Linked DNA regions of Canis lupus familiaris. The protein of the gene in region 1 purifies or fractionates together with the protein of each later gene. This does not show direct contact. Links are inferred from orthologs where the notes say so. Each region holds a gene or a part of one and is shown on either strand. Other genes may lie near its edges.

Region 1 (5,066 bases):
TTTTTCTTAAATTGGTCCTGAGTAGCACACCTACTTCTTGGAGAAGACATACCTTCATCATGGTTTCGTTGATCAAGTTCTCACTGATGATGGTGGCAGTGCCCAAGCTGGAGTTCGCAATCTTGGTGGCTGTTGTGTTCATTGGCTTCACGGGATGAAGTCTAAAGAGAAGAGGATAGGATCCTTAGACCTTTCTGCAATGGCCAAACCAAGAAACTATCCATCTCACGGATGGCAGCCAGTGAGACAGACAGGAGGGCAGAGTGGTGATACGTTCTGTGCACACCTGCAGTCTCACACACACCAGTGTTCCTGTGGTAACGAGGGCAGTCAGCACTAGGCCACCGCAAACAAACCAACCAAGCACACTCAACCAGGTGTCCCAATGTTCTCACAGACCCTTGTCTCATTATCAATGTCAGAAGAACACGAGACACAGCCTCTTATTTTTGAGGCAGCTACAGCCTAGGACTGTCCTGTGTGAGTCCCTACAGAGCCTTCTGTTCCTCCACAATAAAGAGTTGGGAACAAACAGGCCAGCTTTACCTTGGGCGGAGCTTAAAGCAAGCTTCCAACACAGCTACGTTCTATCACTCCATCTCAGTTGGTTTTTGATACTAGGAAGGTACTGGTCACAAGACATCTCTGTGATCTGAGAGCCCCAAATCTGACTGTCCAGCGTAATTCCTAAACTATCTCTAAAGACTAATATTGTATCCTCCCTGCAAATGCAGGAGTGTCTTGAGAAGGTGTTCCCACCACTGGACAGACCCTTTAAAAATGAGCCTTACCAGCAAAATGTGCAGGAGGTACCACCTGGATATCCATGCAGCTAGAAAGCCCTTATCTCTGCAGGCAAAAGGCAAAAAGGGCTGTGGGAAGGTGGGGGGGATCGCTCACATTGACAAAACAATCTTCCCCGACTCTCACCTGTGCTTGGCTGACCCCGTTCCCGCGCTTGGCTGAGCTGAGACTGGCTGTGTCTCTGAGGGTGAGACCCAGGCCTGAAGAAGCGGCTTCCTCTTGCCAGAATTTTCCACTTTATCAGCGGAGCCCTCTGCTGTTGCTTTTTTTTGAGATTCTGCTGTACTGGTGTGGTGAGTGTCAGCATGTGGGTGGCTGGGGAAAGAGTGTGTAATAGGAAAGGTCTCAGAAAAGGAGGGGCTGGGTACAGGGGAGTCGAGGGCTGTATCAGGAGGCTGGCTGGGCCTCCCATTTCCCATCAGCTTTTCCTTCTTGCCACAGCCAGGACCTGGCAGCTGTTTATCCAAGCGTGAGCTCTTGCCAAGCTCTGGTTTATGAATTCCTGAAGCTGTAGTTGGCTCTGAAGAGGCCATAACAGATACTTCGGGTGCTTTTGACCCGAGGTCAGGCAGGCTCTCTACAGGTGCCGCCCACCCATCTGCCTCGCCCCTCGGCCCCTTCTCCATCTCAGGATGGGCATGTGACATGCTCACGGAGGAAGGTCCTACTTGCAGGGCTGCCACCTGGGCTGTCTCTCTGTCATCTTCACCCTGATCCACCCTTTCATCATCTGACGCCACTTCAGGAATTGCAGGAAGGGTTAAGCCCAGATCAGCCATGACTGGAGAGTTAATACCTGGGATAGAGTGAAGGCCACTCAGGGGATCAGACAATAAACCTTCGTGATCACTGGCTTTGCTCTGATTTTGAGCCATAGGCGTATCGTCTCGCTCAATCTTTAAGAGTGGGATGTCTTTCCCTGAGCTTGCCTCACTCACAGGGCCTTCTGAGACACACTCCTTGGAAGAGGGGAAGTGAAGGGGGTCTGCCATGGAAGCTGGCACACCATGCTTCACTGGCCCGGGTGCAGACACAGCTTCCGTCTCTGTGACCTCTGCGTGGAAACACCCAGCAGGCTCTCCGTCTGACAGGTTTCCAGAGGTGGCTCCTTTGTGTGTCACCTCCTGGGGATTATCTCTGTGCTCTTCCACCAACCCAGTGGACTCCTCTAGCTCCTCTTCCATAAAGATCTCCTCTGAAAATGATACACGCTTCTTGATTTTCTTTTGGCTTTCGTCAACATTCTCTTTGTGTCTCTGCATCACAGAGCCAAGAGTGGGAGCTGATTCTCCAGACTGAAGAGGGGGTGCCGCTTCTTTAATTGCAGAAGTCATGCTGCCCCCCTTAACTCTGTTCTCCCCAAAAGACCCAAATGGATGCTCTGAGCCTGTGTGTTCCCCCATCAGAGGCCTCCATGCCGGGCTCTCGATCTGGCCACTTCTGAATGAAGGAGCAAGTATTACTTCTTGGGTCTCTTGAGACGAAGGGGCATAGTCTTGTTCTGAGTGGGGAGCCCTCTGAACTTCTTCCCTTTCAGGTTGCTTTAGGAGAGACCTTTCTGAGTCATGACCGACGGTGCTCTCCAGGCCTATCTCACTGGTCTTCCCCATTGGATAATCTTCCATTCCCTTCCACGCTGGAGTGGGGAGCTGTTGGAAACGTGACCCCGAGGCACAAGAAACAGTCTTTGGATCCTGTGTTAAACTCTCTCTTAGCAATTCTGCCTTATGGAGCAAAGATGGTTCTTCAGGACTGGCCTGGCCCTGGTCTGTGGGGGGCCAGTTTTCAACTGGCGTGGATGTGGAAATGGGAGCCACAATGGGAGATGAGAAAGAGAAGACAGAAGGAGATTCAGAGGATGGTGTCTCTGCACAATGCCCCAATTTAGAAGGGACAGGTGTCTGGCCAGAACTGGACAGAAGAGCAGAAAAAAAGAGAGTAGAGTCAGGGGAAGAAGGAAGCCTGGCTGTGGCTGGAGCCTCTGGAGACACGTCCAGTCTGCAAAAAGGACAAAATAAAATCTGCAGGTCAGTTGCAGATTCATCATGAGAGGCGATAAACACTTAAAAGATAAAGGTGTTCCAAAGGGGAGAGCACTTTAATATTTGGGGCAGTATTTTAAGAAGTTAGAGAAGGAACATTAATAACATATGAAAGGAACACTTTTATCACCAAGCACATCTGCCATGCGAAGGGCTGCTGCAACACAGAAAGCTCCAAGTAAAGCAACAGCCTACGGTCTCTTTTGGTGATAAACAAAATACATCGAAAAATTTCAAAGCAATAAAGGATGCACTCAGGGTAACAGGCACCAGTTTTAAGAGGAACAGTCTGCATGCATGTGTGTGTGTGTGTGTGTGTGTATGTGTGTGTGTGCATGTGTGTGAAATCAAAGTAAAGCAGAATCTCAAAAAAAGTCTCTACCACCCCAGACCACAGAAACATTGTCAGTGTGAATGTGAGTCATGCTGAAAGCAGAAGCCCCCCGACGCTCACTCAGGCTTTTGCAACAAGATGCACAACTGAACACTCAGAGAACCATCCCAGGCATCCTCGAGAGTGGACCAAAGGCCTCCCGTGCCAGCAAAGCAATGCCACGTTGCAAGGAGGAAAGATACTATCCTCCTGAAAGGGCAATATGTGATAAGAACTTTAAACAAAAAAAGAACTTTAAATAAAAACACATGTTCTGCTCATACCACAGCCAAAACCTGGCATTCCCATTTGCAATACTCATAGTCAGCTGCAAAGCATGGTTTTCCACGGGGTCTGATTATCTTACTGAGATGGACAGACCGCGCCTGCTGGCAGGGGCTTTGGGCTGGGATGCACCACTGCAGCCCGGGCAGGGTGGGCCAGGCAGGCAGTATAGGCTGATAAAAATAACTCAGATGATGAAATGCTTGCCATACACAGCTACGACCACGGACCAGCAAGCAAGATCTGCTCGGCCAGTAGACCTTGCTGACTACCCTGGACAGTGAGGTGTGGGCCCCCTGCCCGAGGAGGGCTAGGACTCACCGTGGCTTGACAGCTTTCGTTTGCGGTGCCCTCGTAGAGCCGACGGGGGGTGTGGGTTCAAACGTGAGCTGTCGGTCAGGTTCAGGTTCTGTGACCTGCACTTCTTCAAACGGGTTCAGGGAGCGGCCCTGTCCAAAGACAACGGCCACAGTATCCTTCTCAGATCGTTTCCCTAGGTCTTCGTCAGGCCCTGGCTGGTCCTCCCTCGGTTTGACTTCCATCGATGTGCCTTCTGTCTCCTTCCCTGGGGTGGCAGAAGGGCTTCCGCCTTCGCTGCCCTTGGCTGTGTCCTTCTTTCCCGTCACCAGGGACAGCAAAGAGGACTTCTTATTCTCCTGCTTCTTGCTCTCTTTGGTTTCCTTTGCAGCCTCCAAGCTCGCTGGTGCTGCGTTCTCCCGAATATCCCCACTGACCTGTGGCCGGTAGGACGGCAGAGACATGGATTTGAGAGAGTCCTTTGTGGAAGACTCAGACCACCGCCTGTCGGAAGACACTGCCCCTCCATCCCCAGGCTCCTTCCAAGACCGAGTCGCCAGGTTTTCGGTGGAAGAGAACAGATGCTTCTTCCGGAAGCCCTGGGGAGACGGGGAAGAGGAGGGAGTGCTCTCCTTCGTCTCGCCCTTGGTTTCCGGCTGCTCCAAGTAAACATGGTTCCCATTGATACAGACGTTAGAGCGAGAAAGGACATCATTCTTAGACCGAAGGCCACCAAAAAAGGAGGGTCCTTCCCTCTTGGGCAGGCTGAAATTGCTCTGGTTCAGTTGCTTAGGATCTGCACTCTCTGTTCTCTTGTGAGACATGACTGCAGGGAAGAAAAACAAAAACCAAAAAGTTAAACGACTGGTTCACAACTGGAAAGGGGTGACATCTCTCCGTGCCTGAACACGTTTTTGTTTACTGGCATGACGGTGTGTTACAGCATCTAACAGGTAGAAGCCAGGGATGCGGCTAAAGATCCTACAATGCATGGGGCAGCCCCTACAACAAGGAGTTATCTGGCCCAACCTGCCAAGAGTGCTGAGGTCCGGAAACCCTGCATTAAACCAATGAGAAGGGCCAAATCTGGCCAAAAGTAAGAATTTAGGCATTGAAATTGAAGTTCAAATTCACAGTTAAAGGAACTAGATTCCTCAACCTTAATTAAGGATAATTCCCATGAAGGTTAAACACATTAATAGGATCTCAATAAATACCTGATGAACCAATGAAACGTCAGAATTACTCTAAGGTTCCATGATTTT
Region 2 (5,066 bases), on another chromosome or scaffold:
GCCCCGGGGCCGGCGCAGGGAATCCGATTGCCTGAGCCCCTCGCCCTCGTGGCGGGATGGCCAGAAAACAAAGAAGTCAAGGCTGGCGTGGGGCCGGGCTAGGGAGCCCACGGCGGGGAGGAGGGCAGGCACCGGGCGGGTACCCGGGGAGAACGGGCCCAGCGAAGCGCAGGCGCCCTGGGTATCTCCCAGGCCTGGCGAGGAGGCCCAGTGGCCGCAGCAGAGTGGGGGGGGGGACGAGGGGGGGCGAGGGGGAGCGTGGGGAGGGCCCGGCGGGGGCCTGCGGGTGGATTTGCACTTCGCCCTCTGGGAGGGCTGTGGGCGGAGCAGCGGTGGGACCGGCTGGGGTGCCCAGGGCCGCCCTCTGGTGGCCTCCAGGAAAACAGCCTGCTGGTTGGCTGGGAGTAACCGCAAGGACACGGCCCCGCGGCTGGTGTGGACCAGGGTGGGGGCGGCGAAGGCGGTCAGAGGCCGTGGGAATTGGGGCACGCACATATCCATTCGAGGAAGAGCTTTTTACTGGTGCTGTGGGTGACCACGCCTTCGGCCCCCACGTCTTCCCATTGGACAGACCCACCCTGGGTGCCAGAGCCCAAGATCCACATGTGGGGGATCCATGTGGTTTCTCTCTGGCGTGTCTGGACCGACCGCCGAGTGTTGTTTCTTCTGCGTTGCACATCACCCGGGGGTGCCAGCGCGGCCCACACACCGTGCGTACACACACATGAGACGCAGTGTGTCTTGGGTCCAAGGACAGCCTCTTGGGCTCACACTTCTCCTGGAGCGTCTCACGTGGCCCTGCCCCAGAGCCTGGGGAGCCTTGGCCCCTTGGGGCAATGTTTCTCTGGCTGGGGCAGGAACCTTGTTAGAAGAATACCAGGAGAGGCTGGAGGGGCCTGCTCTGCTGTGCTCAGGACTGGTGCTCGGATGTCTCTGCAGGAAGGGCTGGCTCTGGGGGCGTCAGGGTGGCAGGCTCTGTGCCTTCATGGCTGCGTCTAGAGGGCACATTCCTGTTCCGCATGAGCCAGCTCCGACTGTGCCACAGCTGCATGTGGGATTGCTTATAGCAGCTCCCCGTGAGGGTGGGCGTGGGGGCGAGACTCCTCATTTCCTGTTAGAGCTCTGGAGACCGACCCTTCTGGTAAGAAGCTGGAAGAACACTGGTCATAACCGCTCCCCGGCCTGTCTTAGCATGCTAGGTGCTTGTGGAGTTCTGATCCTGCCATTTCTCCTTGAGTCCCCCTCTTGCAGAAAAGGCAGCCCAGAGAGGTTAAGACATACCTGCTGAGATGTCTGGGTCCAGCCCTCGCAGTGGGGGCAGCCCTGCTCCGAAGGACTGGAGACAGCTGGGGTGTTACGCCACCCACAGTGGCTGTGTTTGCAGAAGTCCTGAGCCCCTGTTTGCTTCTGCACCAGGGAACGTGGTGCCTTGGGCTCCAGGATGGCTCTGACTGCTCTGACATTGACTTTCAAGTTTGTGCAGCACCCAGGGTGCCCCGACAGTCCTGCAGGTGCACATGGGTGGTGTCTGGGCCTTGGCTCGGGGAAGCTGGCCTGCAGAGTCTCACCTATGTCCCTCCTGCCCCCCCAAAGTGGTGCTCATTGGGGACTCGGGCGTGGGGAAGAGCAACCTGCTATCACGCTTCACCCGCAACGAGTTCAACCTGGAGAGCAAGAGCACCATCGGCGTGGAATTCGCCACCCGCAGCATCCAGGTGGACGGCAAGACCATCAAGGCGCAGATCTGGGACACCGCCGGGCAGGAGCGCTACCGTGCCATCACCTCTGCGTGAGTGCCGGGGCTGGGGAGATGCAGGCAGCCACGGCGGTGGGCTGGTGGGCCTTGAAGGATGGGTAGGAGTTGGGCGGGAGAAGGGGAGAGCACACCTCTGCACAGTGGGCAGCCCAGGGTGGTGGGACAGGACCTCCAGGAACTGTGGGACCATTGGGGCAACCAATACCCAGTGTTGGCCACACTGTGACCCTAGGGTAGCCATGTCCTTTGCTCCCTCTGACCCCTGGAGTCCCCTGAGGCTCTGATTTCTCTGGATGCTGGCCACACGGTGAGGGTCACCTCTCTGCAGTCCTCAGCCAGTTGTGTCCTTGGGACTCCCTCCAACAAAGCCTGGTCACCTTCTCATGTCCCTAATCCTTCGGGGTAGACATGTGGCCGTCTGTCTCCTTGGTGGTCAGGCTGGCCGAGCCACGGTGGGCATCAGAGGTTGTGCCCAGCAGTGGCTCTCTCCTTCTTCCTTTTTATGAGTGTCTTCTGACCCCAGGTCCCAGACTTCTTCCTCTGGCTCCGTATTCCTGAGCTGAACCTGGGGAGCAGAGCCAGAACCTCAGGACACACCTGTCTCCCTCGAGGCCGCAGTGGCCACCCCTTGAGCAGGCCCTGTGCCTCCTGCTCTGTGTGTGGGGGCTTAGGGGCTGCTGCCCACAGAGCCCAGGCTAGGGGGTCGTGGGGGGCCCTGGCAGCCGGCTCACGCCCTGCCCCCACAGGTACTACCGCGGTGCAGTGGGCGCACTGCTCGTGTACGACATCGCCAAGCACCTGACCTATGAGAACGTGGAGCGCTGGCTGAAGGAGCTGCGGGACCACGCCGACAGCAACATCGTCATCATGCTGGTGGGCAACAAGAGTGACCTTCGCCACCTACGGGCCGTGCCCACTGACGAGGCCCGTGCCTTTGCCGGTGAGTCAAGCTGGGCTGGAGCAGGTGTGGCCAGGGGGCCTGCCCAGGCCTCCCCGGGGCCACATTCCCCAAAGCGAGATGGTGACTGAGGCGTCAGAGAAACATCTGGAAGGCGGGCAGCTGCCCTGCCCCCCAGGCCCCTGGCATCTTCTCTCTCTTGGCCATGGCCTCGGTACCAGCTACCCCTTCTTGAGGTGTGGTCATCTCGATCCTATCCCTTTGGCCCCAACCATTCATTTCATGGGCCAGGCAAGCGGGCAGGCAAGCAGGGTCGCTGAGAGGATGCAGGGCAGCGCCCCCCTGCTCCACCACTGCTCACCTGGGCCATATTCTTTTTGTTCCAGAAAAGAACAACTTGTCTTTCATTGAGACCTCAGCCTTGGATTCCACCAACGTAGAGGAAGCTTTCAAGAACATCCTCACAGGTGGTCACAGGGCCTGGCTGGGGCCATAGTAACCCCAATATGCCCATCGTGGGGGGGGCCTGGGAAGGGCACCAGCCATTCTGACTGCATGCTCCAGAGCACAGCCGGAGAAGCTTTAGTCTTTAAACCTGCAAGTCGGTCTGGACACAGGACAGATGTGGCGTGCTTTAGGGATCAGGCCAGATCCTGGCCCTGCTGGCACTCAGGACGTAGAGACCCCTTCGACCCAGCTTCTGCAAGGCCCCTCTGCCGTGGCTCCACCAGAGAGCAGCCAGCTCGGTCAGCCAGGGGGACACTGGGCCCCGAGGCCCCTGGGTGCTTATTCTGGGAGGAGGGGGCCTCTGATCATATAGGACAAGAGGCCAGGCCGGGGGTACATCTGTGACCAGACACGGGTCCCGTTCTTGCTGAGCACACAGTCAGCATTGGGTGACCAGGTGGGAGCCTGTCTCCCCCTGCCCCGCCGTGTTGGGGGGCACAGTCAGGGCCTTTGAGAGGGGTTTTGGGTTCAGCCTTGGGGCTGCTCCCCGGAGGGCGGCCGGTCCAGATGGCAGGGGGACAGTCATTGCGGGCGAGCACGCAGCACACTCACCCCACGTTCCCCCCACCTGCAGAGATCTACCGCATTGTGTCACAGAAGCAGATTGCAGACCGCGCAGCCCATGACGAGTCCCCTGGCAACAACGTGGTGGACATCAGCGTGCCGCCCACCACCGACGGACAGAAACCCAACAAGCTGCAGTGCTGCCAGAACCTGTGACCGCCCCGCGCCTCGTCCGAGCGTGCGTGCACGTCCTCGTCCTCCGCCCGCCCCTCACCTCTCTGTGCTCCCTTGCCCCACCCTCTCTGTCCCTCTGTGACTGGCTCCTGCCCTCCCATCGAGCTCCGCATGGCTGGCCAGGGCCCGGGAAGAACAGGAGTCAAGTGGTACCCGCTGTCCTGCTCAAGGAAAGCTAGAAGCCCGGGTTGCTGCACCTGCTCTTCTTGGGTCCCAGTGTGCATCGCGGCGGGTCGGGGAGGGTGGCAGGACGGACAGGGCCAGCCAGAGGCAAGGAGGATGGGCACACCGAGCAGGCTTCTCCAATTTTCCACGGCAGACTCCAGGGAGCGATCACCTCCCTCCCTCTGCGGCCAGTTGGCCCGACAACTGGCCCCCGATCCCCACCCAGAACCCCGTTCTGAGCATTAGCTCGAAGAGCAAGGCGCCAGGGGGCCAGGGCCAGTGGACACTCTTGGCTCTCGGCACCCCCGTTCCCCCACGCACAGCCAGCACCGGTACACGCCTTCGACCTCCCGTGTGTGCGCGACTCCAGCTCCTGCCTGTAGATTTATGCTGGGAGAAGACCCCTCTCCCCCCTCCCCTTCCTTTTGCACGCAGCGCGCTCTCCGGCCCTCCCTCCCTGTGCTCCCCTCTGTCTTGTCTCCTGTCTGGTCAGGAACCTGTTTGCAAGTGAAGCAATATCTCCGTGTTTTGTATATACAACCGCTCTTGTAGCCTTTGGTTTTTTTGTTATTGTAGAGAAACACAGATTCTTTATACACTTTGTAAGATTGACGCCAAACCCCAGCTCTCGATCTCTTATTCTCCCTGTGGCCCCTGCACTGTTGCCCCGATGCCTCATTTCTTCCGCCCGTTACTAAAATGTATAATCCGACTTCCTGTACAGAAACCTGCCACTGCGCCTTTGTCTTCATTTTTCTCTGCCAGGAGGCCACGCCTGGGGCCGGGGCTCCTCGCGGTGCATGTCCCGCTGCCACAGGGAGCTGGAAGACCAGGCCCAAGTGCCACCCAGGACAGTGCAGAGGCCCACGAGCTGACCACAGGGCCCTTGGCCTGGTGGTGGTGGGGGGTATCCTCTCCAAGCTGCCCCTGTGGCTGGGGGATGTATTCAGCTTCTTCCCAGCCCACTGCTCCCCATTCCTGGCCCTGGGGTTGGACTGTCCT

What was found.
Region 2: the proteins of RAB11FIP1 (region 1) and RAB11B purify together in Homo sapiens (affinity purification with mass spectrometry; 3 studies listed by BioGRID and IntAct, counting the BioPlex papers as one, with this or other methods). This does not show direct contact. The link is inferred for Canis lupus familiaris from reciprocal best matches to the Homo sapiens genes RAB11FIP1 and RAB11B.

The regions. Positions count from the first base shown.
Region 1 is NC_049237.1:28,257,129-28,262,194, reverse strand, and holds part of RAB11FIP1 (rab11 family-interacting protein 1), read right to left. Parts: intron 4,628-5,066; coding exon 3,826-4,627; intron 2,803-3,825; coding exon 931-2,802; intron 162-930; coding exon 53-161; intron 1-52. UniProt on the Homo sapiens protein: A Rab11 effector protein involved in the endosomal recycling process. Also involved in controlling membrane trafficking along the phagocytic pathway and in phagocytosis. Interaction with RAB14 may function in the process of neurite formation.
Region 2 is NC_049241.1:53,368,991-53,374,056, forward strand, and holds part of RAB11B (ras-related protein Rab-11B), read left to right. Parts: intron 1-1,593; coding exon 1,594-1,789; intron 1,790-2,502; coding exon 2,503-2,696; intron 2,697-3,040; coding exon 3,041-3,121; intron 3,122-3,735; coding exon 3,736-3,881; 3' UTR 3,882-5,066. UniProt on the Homo sapiens protein: The small GTPases Rab are key regulators of intracellular membrane trafficking, from the formation of transport vesicles to their fusion with membranes.